2 linked regions of the Nothobranchius furzeri genome follow. The protein of the gene in region 1 purifies or fractionates together with the protein of each later gene. This does not show direct contact. Links are inferred from orthologs where the notes say so. Each region holds a gene or a part of one and is shown on either strand. Other genes may lie near its edges. The genes, in order: exoc7 and exoc8.

The links.
Region 2: the proteins of exoc7 (region 1) and exoc8 purify together in Homo sapiens (affinity purification with mass spectrometry; 4 studies listed by BioGRID and IntAct, counting the BioPlex papers as one, with this or other methods). This does not show direct contact. The link is inferred for Nothobranchius furzeri from reciprocal best matches to the Homo sapiens genes EXOC7 and EXOC8.

The regions. Positions count from the first base shown.
Region 1 is NC_091756.1:53,832,258-53,836,571, reverse strand, and holds the start of exoc7 (exocyst complex component 7), read left to right. Parts: upstream 1-1,337; 5' UTR 1,338-1,473; coding exon 1,474-1,533; intron 1,534-1,693; coding exon 1,694-1,759; intron 1,760-2,396; coding exon 2,397-2,581; intron 2,582-2,677; coding exon 2,678-2,783; intron 2,784-4,314. UniProt on the Homo sapiens protein: Component of the exocyst complex involved in the docking of exocytic vesicles with fusion sites on the plasma membrane.
Region 2 is NC_091742.1:10,762,336-10,766,599, forward strand, and holds the start of exoc8 (exocyst complex component 8), read left to right. Parts: upstream 1-1,373; 5' UTR 1,374-1,522; coding exon 1,523-2,672; intron 2,673-2,835; coding exon 2,836-3,089; intron 3,090-3,232; coding exon 3,233-3,481; intron 3,482-3,596; coding exon 3,597-4,001; 3' UTR 4,002-4,264. Other genes in the region: DNA-dependent metalloprotease SPRTN, read right to left, coding at 365-696. UniProt on the Homo sapiens protein: Component of the exocyst complex involved in the docking of exocytic vesicles with fusion sites on the plasma membrane.

The sequences.
Region 1 (4,314 bases):
TAGTTTATGTAATTGTAAAATGTTAATCAGAGCGTTTGTATGAATACATTTTGCATCCATAACAGTGTGTTCAGATTTGTAAATATGTATACAAACTATGAGAACCAACTTCTTGTCTGCAAATACATTTGTAATTTTTGCGAATGGTGTGTTTTTCTTATTAACCCATCAAAACAATCCTATTAGTCATGTTAAACACACCTGTGACCAGTGTAAATCCAAATGATCTCCCCTGGAGGGAGTCAATTTCCCTCAGCTTGTAATGCTGTAGTTAGCTGGGGTAAGCACTCCACAACTATAGTGTTTATAAAAAAAACTTTTATTGTGTTAAGATGAAGGAAAGGCATGTTTGGGTGAGTTTCGTTCTTGCTGACCCCTAAATGTCATTCAGGACTATTCAATTCTGCTTCTGGATTGCTGGTATCCAGCATGTTTTAGTTTGAACTGCTGCAGCACACCTGATTTCAATCAGCAGGTGATTAGCAGGCTTCTGCATAGCCTGATGAACTGCTGCACAGGTGATGCAATCTCTGAATCAAGTGTGTTGGAGCAGAGAAATTACTAAAACATGCTGGATACCGGCCCTCCAGACCCGGAATTGAATATCCCAGCTATAGGTTTTTATTTGGAAATTTTACAGGAGTAGCAAATAAGATAATGTAATGTTATGAATGTAGTTCTCGGTTGTTTTTCTACTCTTCCACTTTCATAATAATATACCAAAAAGAATAAAAACAAACACAATTTAATTGAAATAAATAGGCTAATATTTAGAATCAAAGTGAAGTTCCGTTATTACTCCACTGGAGGTCGACAACTCGTTCACTGCAGTTTCATTAAAACGGTTATACTTTTATTTGCTGGACTCGCTCTAAATGATTTGCTGTTAATAATTAGTGTAAAGACATGTTTCCTAATTCAAGTATCGTGGTTTAAATTCAATTCAGATACCGGAAAAGACTAACACGCCTCACCGGATACTTTCTAAACATGCCTTCAAAATAAACTCAAACATTTATGATGTTTACAAGTAAACAAATTAAACTACAAACAAATTGCGAAACCTTAACACCATTAAACATACTCAAATTTCTAATGTTCAGTTTTACATTTAATAGCTCAAGGCTTTAAAAATATCGGATGAAAGCTAAGTGCTCCCCTGCCGAAACCTTTCTATGTAGTGTACCCCGGAGTTTTATCTGATATAAATAGACACAGATATTTAGATCTAGAGTCAATATTTGATGTCAAATGCTCAGTAAAATGCATTTTCCGATCTGATCTCCAAGTGTTGATTTATTCTGAAATGACAGCCGGAAGTTACGGCTGTTGGGGCTGTCCAACCTAGTTTGTGATTGCTACCTTTAGCTTTTAGGAACTGTGGCTTTTGCTAGTTTTTTTTAATGACCTAAACAGGTCTGTAATCGCTCATTCCTCCTTGGAGACAGCCCTTTGACGGGAACTAACTTCAGGATGATTCCTACTGAGGACGCGTCCGCCAGGAAGCGGGAGATTGAGGAGAAACTGAAGCAGGTCAGACTCCGATGGACAGGAAGGGGCTTTATTCTGCCCAATTCGGTGCTTAAAACGAACAATAACAGAGTCCAGACACCAGCTGAGAGCAAACTCTGATCGTTCTTAGTGTTTTCAGACTGTTTGTGGTGAGCTGTTGATTTTCTGTGGGATGTTACAGGAGCAGGAGACGCTGTCATTCATCCGAGAGAACCTGGAGAAGAGCGATCAGCTGACCAAAGGCATGGTAAGAAAACAACACAACATCCGGGTCACCTAACGAACAAACGTTTCAAAAGTTACCAATAAAAAATTATAAGGTCAAAGGTCAGTCTAGGTTTCAAGGGACACGTTTCGTTTAATATACAGTTATTAAAGCGACCAATCAAATAAAATCCCGTTTAAAAATTAAAGCAGAAAACATAAAAAAAGATAAACATTTAAGATTGAAAGTTGAAAATAGTGACTTTACATGTGTCTGAAATGTTTCAATGGATGTTGTTTATTTGAAACTGCTATTTAATCGTAAATTGTTAGTTTTTTGTCTGTTGAAACCTTTTTATTATTTTGTATTTTATTTATCTGAAGCCCACTTTGACTAAACTAAGACAATTGTTTCCGTTCATGTGGGACACTGCTAAGAGTTTATTATATATTATATATAAGTATTTATGGTTGTAATCTAAACTCGATTTCTAATTTTATTATACATGAATCTATGACTTTTTTTTTCAATAAAAGCACAAACTATCTGTTAGGTTCCAATGATTTAAAGGGATTTTGTTCTAAACACAAGTTTTCTTTTGTCTGAACCGAACTAGAAGCCCTATATTTATATTCTCAGTGTTTTGAACCTTTTGTTATTTTCTTTCTCATCCTGAAAGGTTTCCATCCTGTCATCGTTTGAGAGCCGCCTAATGCAGCTGGAGAACTCCATCATCCCGGTCCACAAGCAGACAGAGAACCTGCAGCGACTGCAGGACAATGTGGACAAAACTCTTTCCTGCATGGATCACGTCATTAGTTATTACCACGTGGCCAAAGACACTGACAGGATCATTCGAGAGGGGTGAGGACTGTCTCTGGAAACATTAAATGGTTCTGCTACTGGTATTGAGTCATAACGTGTGTGTGCGTGTGCGTGCGTGCGCTTGTTGTGTCTCAGACCTGCAGGCAGACTGGACGAGTATCTCGCTTGTATCGCAAAGATCCAGAAAGCTGTGGAATACTTTCAGGACAACCACCCTGACAGCCCTGAGCTCAACACAGTGGTACGATCTCATCCTGAATCTGTTTGTCCTGCTACTAGGACACATTTGACTGAATCCTCTCATTGGTGCTAAAATAATTTATTCTGGTGGTGGAAAAAAACAGCCGAAAGTCCAAATCAAAAATAGAGTATGACCTTCAGAACTCCTGAGAAACTGTTGATCAAGATAACTTTAAAGGGAACATAACTTTTTTTCTTAAATTATAACAGTTCTTTGGTTGATACCAAATATGTTTATGAAGTTTTTTTGCACCAAATCCCTCTTACGTTAAGTGATTTCAGTAGTTTTATTCTTGACAGTTTTAGTATCTTCCAGAGTGAGCCATTACGTTGCTTTAGGAAAACAAGCTGTAATTGGCCACGCCCACCCATCCCACTCACTCAGGCTGCTATTAGCTGAGAAGCTTCGATATCCAGGAAAGGATCAGAGTAACCCCTACTGCTCAATGGAAGCATCAGCACTGCAGAAGAGCAGCAGAGCGTCACTGCTTCAAATAAAACCCATTCAAATCTATGGGGGTGATTCAAACCAGCCGCGACTCGGCCATTTTCAGATGCATCTCAGAAGTGGCACACCGCACCGCTAAAGATGGGATCGTGTTCTATTTTTGCCGCGAGCCGCTTCCGGGATGCAACAATTAATGTAGTGCTAGACAGGAAATCACACACGATTTCAGTGTAAAACCCCAGTAATTTTCAAAATAAATGTATATTGCAGCGATGCGACTTCACATTTATGTAGATTACATCAATACAAGCGACCCAGCGGCTTATTTACTCCCTGCATCATTCCAGAAGTGCAGCTGTGTGTTTTTTATGGCTTTTGTCCTGGCAGTTGAGAGGAACAACATCATATATGTCAACAAACGTGATTTCCTTCTTTTTGGTTTAATGGCGGACGACATAAACTTGAGGGATTTTGTGATCTCGCGAGTTAAGCAAGGAGGATGGTGGAAGTCTCGAGGGATTTTGTGATTCCGCTGGTTGAGCGAGGAGCACAGCAGAGAAGCCGCTTTGCAGCTGATACTCTCCCGGTATGCTCTGGAGTGCAGCAGTTGTTGCAAGTAAGTCTTTCTGCTGCTGCTCCGTGCCACAGATGCTTCCAGTGTGCAGTAGGGGTAAGCCACTGGTCCTGCAGCAGCAGTTCTCTCTTGCACATGAGGGGTAGTTCTAATCTACTTTCCCTGTTTGTGACATCACAATTGGGGGATTTTTGAAACAGCTTTTTTTAGGCACTTCATTTTTTAAACCAAACGCTGACAGAAAAGAGATGGATGGATTTTTCATGTTTAGAGTGTTCATTTACAGTTCAGTTCATTTTTATTTCAAAGATTTCACACATGTATCATTACAAAATATAATTCCATTATTTGTTTGAGAAGGAGTAGGCAGAAGTATTTACTTATTTGTCCCTACCCCCAAGTTTTACCTCTTATTCATTTAATTTTCTTTCAGTCTTAAATTAAACAAACAACATATGAAAAAAAAATATAAAAAAACAAAAACAAACAACATATAGAAAACAGAGAATG
Region 2 (4,264 bases), on another chromosome or scaffold:
AGGCATTTTCTCAAAACTCTGTTATTCCTGTAACACAGCGCTGGAGTGGAGGACATCAAAACAAGAAACAGGACACATTTTATACAATAGAGAAGGCCTTAACATTGCATAGAAGCACAAGGAAACCATAATAGAGCTTCATGAAACTGGACATTTTTTGCTTTTTTAGAAATTATGTTTGACATACTTTGTGTCAGATATTTAGTGGTACCCATTTGTTTAATCTTTTACCTTATTTTTCTTCAATAATGATGTTTTTCCAAGCATCTCGCGCTTTGTGGCTACCATATTTGAATCCCAGTAAAGCCAACAGTGTTTATAAACATCCCTGCTGTAGGAAATCTGGTGAACAAACAAAACTTACAGTGTCATTCTGGGGCTCCACTTCACCTCGACTCCGCTCAGTTTCCCCCAGAAGAACAGGCTATTAAACTCCAGAAACATGGCCCTCACATCTGGGTTTGGGTCCAGCATCTCCCAGGACTCATCCACGATGCTCAGGGGTTTCTCAGGCTCGTGACCCGGCTTCCAGGAGGGGACAGCAGCGCTGCCACCTCCGGCTGCTTCCACTTTCCGTCTCTTACTGCTTTGTTCGAAGTAATTATCCTCGAATCTATTTGATGAGGTTAATGACGTCTCGTACTCATTATCGAACTGCTCCTGTAATTTAATGGCAAGCAGGAAATCCGCATCCATGACATCAGAAGGCAGCTGTGCTAGCTTGTTAGCTGACTTGCTAATGTAAATAGCACGAAGTTCTGGAACAAACGACGTCTGCAGCCTAATTATAAAATCAACCTTTCAGAGAAACATCGGTAAAAGGACTGAAGTCATGACTTTGAAAGATGAATCTCATCTTCTTGTCAGCCAAAGGTATCTGTAATAATAGTCGGTCTGTCCACAGCTCGCGCCAAACAGCAGGTTTGCTACATGTACTACATTACAACGAGTCTCTTTCCGTATGAACTTCTAAATAAAAAACTACTTCAAACTTAATTTCGTGTTTGATTTGGCTTTCCCCGCTTAGTTTTGTATCTTATTTTAATCAGCAGATGACTAAAATTAGCTTGTTTAAACGCTGTTGAAAATCTGTAATGTTTCTGCAGCTACCGTAAACTTCCGGTAGGTAAATAGTTGGACAACAAAACACCTATTCCGGGTGTTGTTCAATAGCCCAGTAATCAGTAACAACTGCAAAATAACAACACACAAAAAGCAAAATGAGTAAATAAATAAACAGAAGCTTTAAAATAAAAATAAAACATTGTTTGGTTTACCTGAAAGATCAATAACAATTTTGTTCTGAGTTTTTGTTGATCATCCTTTTTGTTCTCCCTTCTCGTGACGTTCATGTGACGTTGACAACCCGGGTGTTGGAGAAGCCAGATCCTTTTGGGGTGTTGACCTGTTTTCAGCTTCCTGTGTTTGTTGACGTGGATATGAAGGCGCTCGTTCTCTGTTTGCGTTTCTCGTCAGTTTGTTAACAGTTTTGCTTAATAAGGAAACACGCAGACAACCAAAGATGTCGGAAACCGGGAACCGACTTCGGAAGCTGCTGGAATCGCCCAACTTCGATCCACAGAACTACGTCAAGCAGCTGTCACAGCAGTCGGATGGCGACAGAGACCTTCAGGAGCATCGTCAGAAAATTCAAACTCTGGCTGATGAAACGGCCCAAAACCTCAAGAAGAACGTGTACAAGAACTACAGACAGTTCATCGAAACGGCCAAGGAGATCTCCTTCCTGGAGAGCGAGATGTACCAGCTGAGCCACATCCTCACCGAGCAGAAGAGCATCATGGAGAGCATCACTCAGGCCTTACTGTCCACAGACAAGGACGAGACCTCCAAAGAGATGCAGGCAGCGTTCCCCAAAGAGACAGAGGACCTGAAGCAGAGGACTCTCACCTCACTGCTGGAGAAGGTGGAAGGAGCTAAAAACATCATGGACACCCCAGGGAGACACCTGGTCTACAATGGAGACCTCGTGGAGTTTGATGTGGACAACATGTCCCCCATCCAGAAGGCTCATGCTTTCCTGATGAATGACTGCCTGTTGATTGCCACCTGGCTGCCTAACCGCAGAGGCACAGTGAAGTATAAATACAATGCCCTGTATGATCTGGAGAGCTTTGCTGTGGTCAACGTAAAGGACAACCCTCCCATGAAGGACATGTTCAAGATTCTCATGTTCCCAGACAGCCGCATCTTCCAGGTGGAAAACAGCAAAGTCAAGAAGGAGTGGCTGGAGATCCTGGATGAAACCAAGAAAAAGAAAGCCTCCCAGGACAAACACAAGAAAGAGGAGGAGGTCCCCACCTCTCCCGTGCGAGCCGAAGTGTCCAACAACCCTTTTGATGTGGATGACGACGAGCCGGCAGATGCCGAGGAGAGTGTGGACCTCAGTCTCGAGTGGATCCAGGAGCTGCCCGAGGACCTGGATGTGTGCATCGCTCAGAGAGACTTTGAGGGTGCAGTGGACCTGCTGGACAAGCTGAACGAGTATCTCAAAGACCAGCCTGCGACCCAGACGGTGAAAGAGCTGAAGGCGAAGGTGGATGAGCGTGTGCGGCAGCTGACTGAGGTCTTGGTGTTTGAGCTGTCTCCTGATCGGTCGCTTCGTGGTGGACCTAAAGCGACCCGGCGGGCCGTGTCCCAGCTCATCAGATTAGGTCTTTATTTGTATTAATAAGATCTCACAGACCATTAAAATGTTGATTTCCCAAAACCAGTAAACATTTCAACACAAAGCCAGAGTAGTCCTTGGAGAATCCATGCCTGTAACAATTTAAAGTTATATTTCCAACAGTTGATGATGTCATTTCTGTGTTTCAGGTCAGTCCACCAAGGCTTGCGAGCTGTTCCTGAAGAACCGCGCCGCGGCTGTCCAGACGGCCATCCGGCAGCTCCGCATCGAAGGAGCCACGCTGCTCTACATCCACAAACTCTGCAACATTTTCTTCACCAGCCTGCTGGAAACTGCCAAGGAGTTTGAGACGGACTTTGCGGGGAACACGGGCTGCTACTCTGCCTTTGTGGTCTGGTCCAGATCGGCCATGACGATGTTTGTGGACGCGTTTAGCAAACAGGTCAGCAGAGGCTCAGCGATGTCCCTAACATGAGTCAAGAAATATGTTTCGATCATTATTCTTGATAAAAAAAAAATCAAGATCAATTATTGTTCCAATTATTTCAGAAAATGATTCAAAACGGCCAATTTTCTGTTTTCCAGGTGTTTGACAGCAAGGAGAGCCTGTCGACAGCAGCAGAGTGCGTTAAAGTGGCCAAGGAGCACTGTCAGCAGCTGACGGAGATCGGCCTGGATCAGACGTTCACGCTGCAGTCGCTGCTGGTCAAAGACGTCAAGGCAGCCCTGCTGAGCTACAAGAACATCATCATTGAGGCCACAAAACACCGGAACTCTGAGGAGATGTGGAGGAGGATGAACTTGATGACCCCTGAGGCTTTAACTAAGCTCAAGGTCGAACAGCCTTCCTTAATTCCCAATTTTGTGTTTGTTTCTTTTGTTTGAAGAAGAAAACTAAAGAAAATGCGGGTGTTGAGCAGCATCTAAGGCTTTTCTCTTCGTCTTGCAGGATGAGATGCGTAGCTGTGGGATTAGTTTCCAGCAGTACACGGGCGATGACTGCTGGGTGAACTTGAGCTACACCATCGTGGCCTTCACCAAGCAGATGATGAGCTTCCTGGAAGAGGGTCTGAAGCTCTACTTCCCCGAGCTGCACATGGTGCTGCTGGAGAGCCTGAGGGAGATCATCCTGGTGGCCGTGCAGCACGTCGACTACAGCCTGCGCTGTGAGCAGGACCCCGAGAAGAAGGCTTTCGTCCTGCAGAACGCCACCTTCCTCCACGACACCGTGCTGCCAGTGGTGGAGCGGCGGTTTGAGGAGGGTGTGGGGAAACCGGCCAAACAGCTGCGGGACCTGAGGAAGAGCACGAGGCCGGTGCGGATCAACCCAGAGAGCACCACATCCTTAGTCTGAGGCCGACAGGAGCTTCGACGGCTCGTTTAACAAACCGCGTGAGACTGAAACGGCGGCCGGTGGCCACTCCCCCCTTCCCTCCCTGTCATTTCACCTCCCCCCTCAGACCCGATCCACAACACTAACTACTGGGTGTTTAGATGCTGCAGGAAGGAAATGATGGTAAAATGAAAGAGTCAGTGATGACACAGTCGGACGTTTTATTTAAAGTTAAATTTTCCTGCTGCAGCTTGTTTAGTTCTCAGTTCTTCGGGTTAATAATC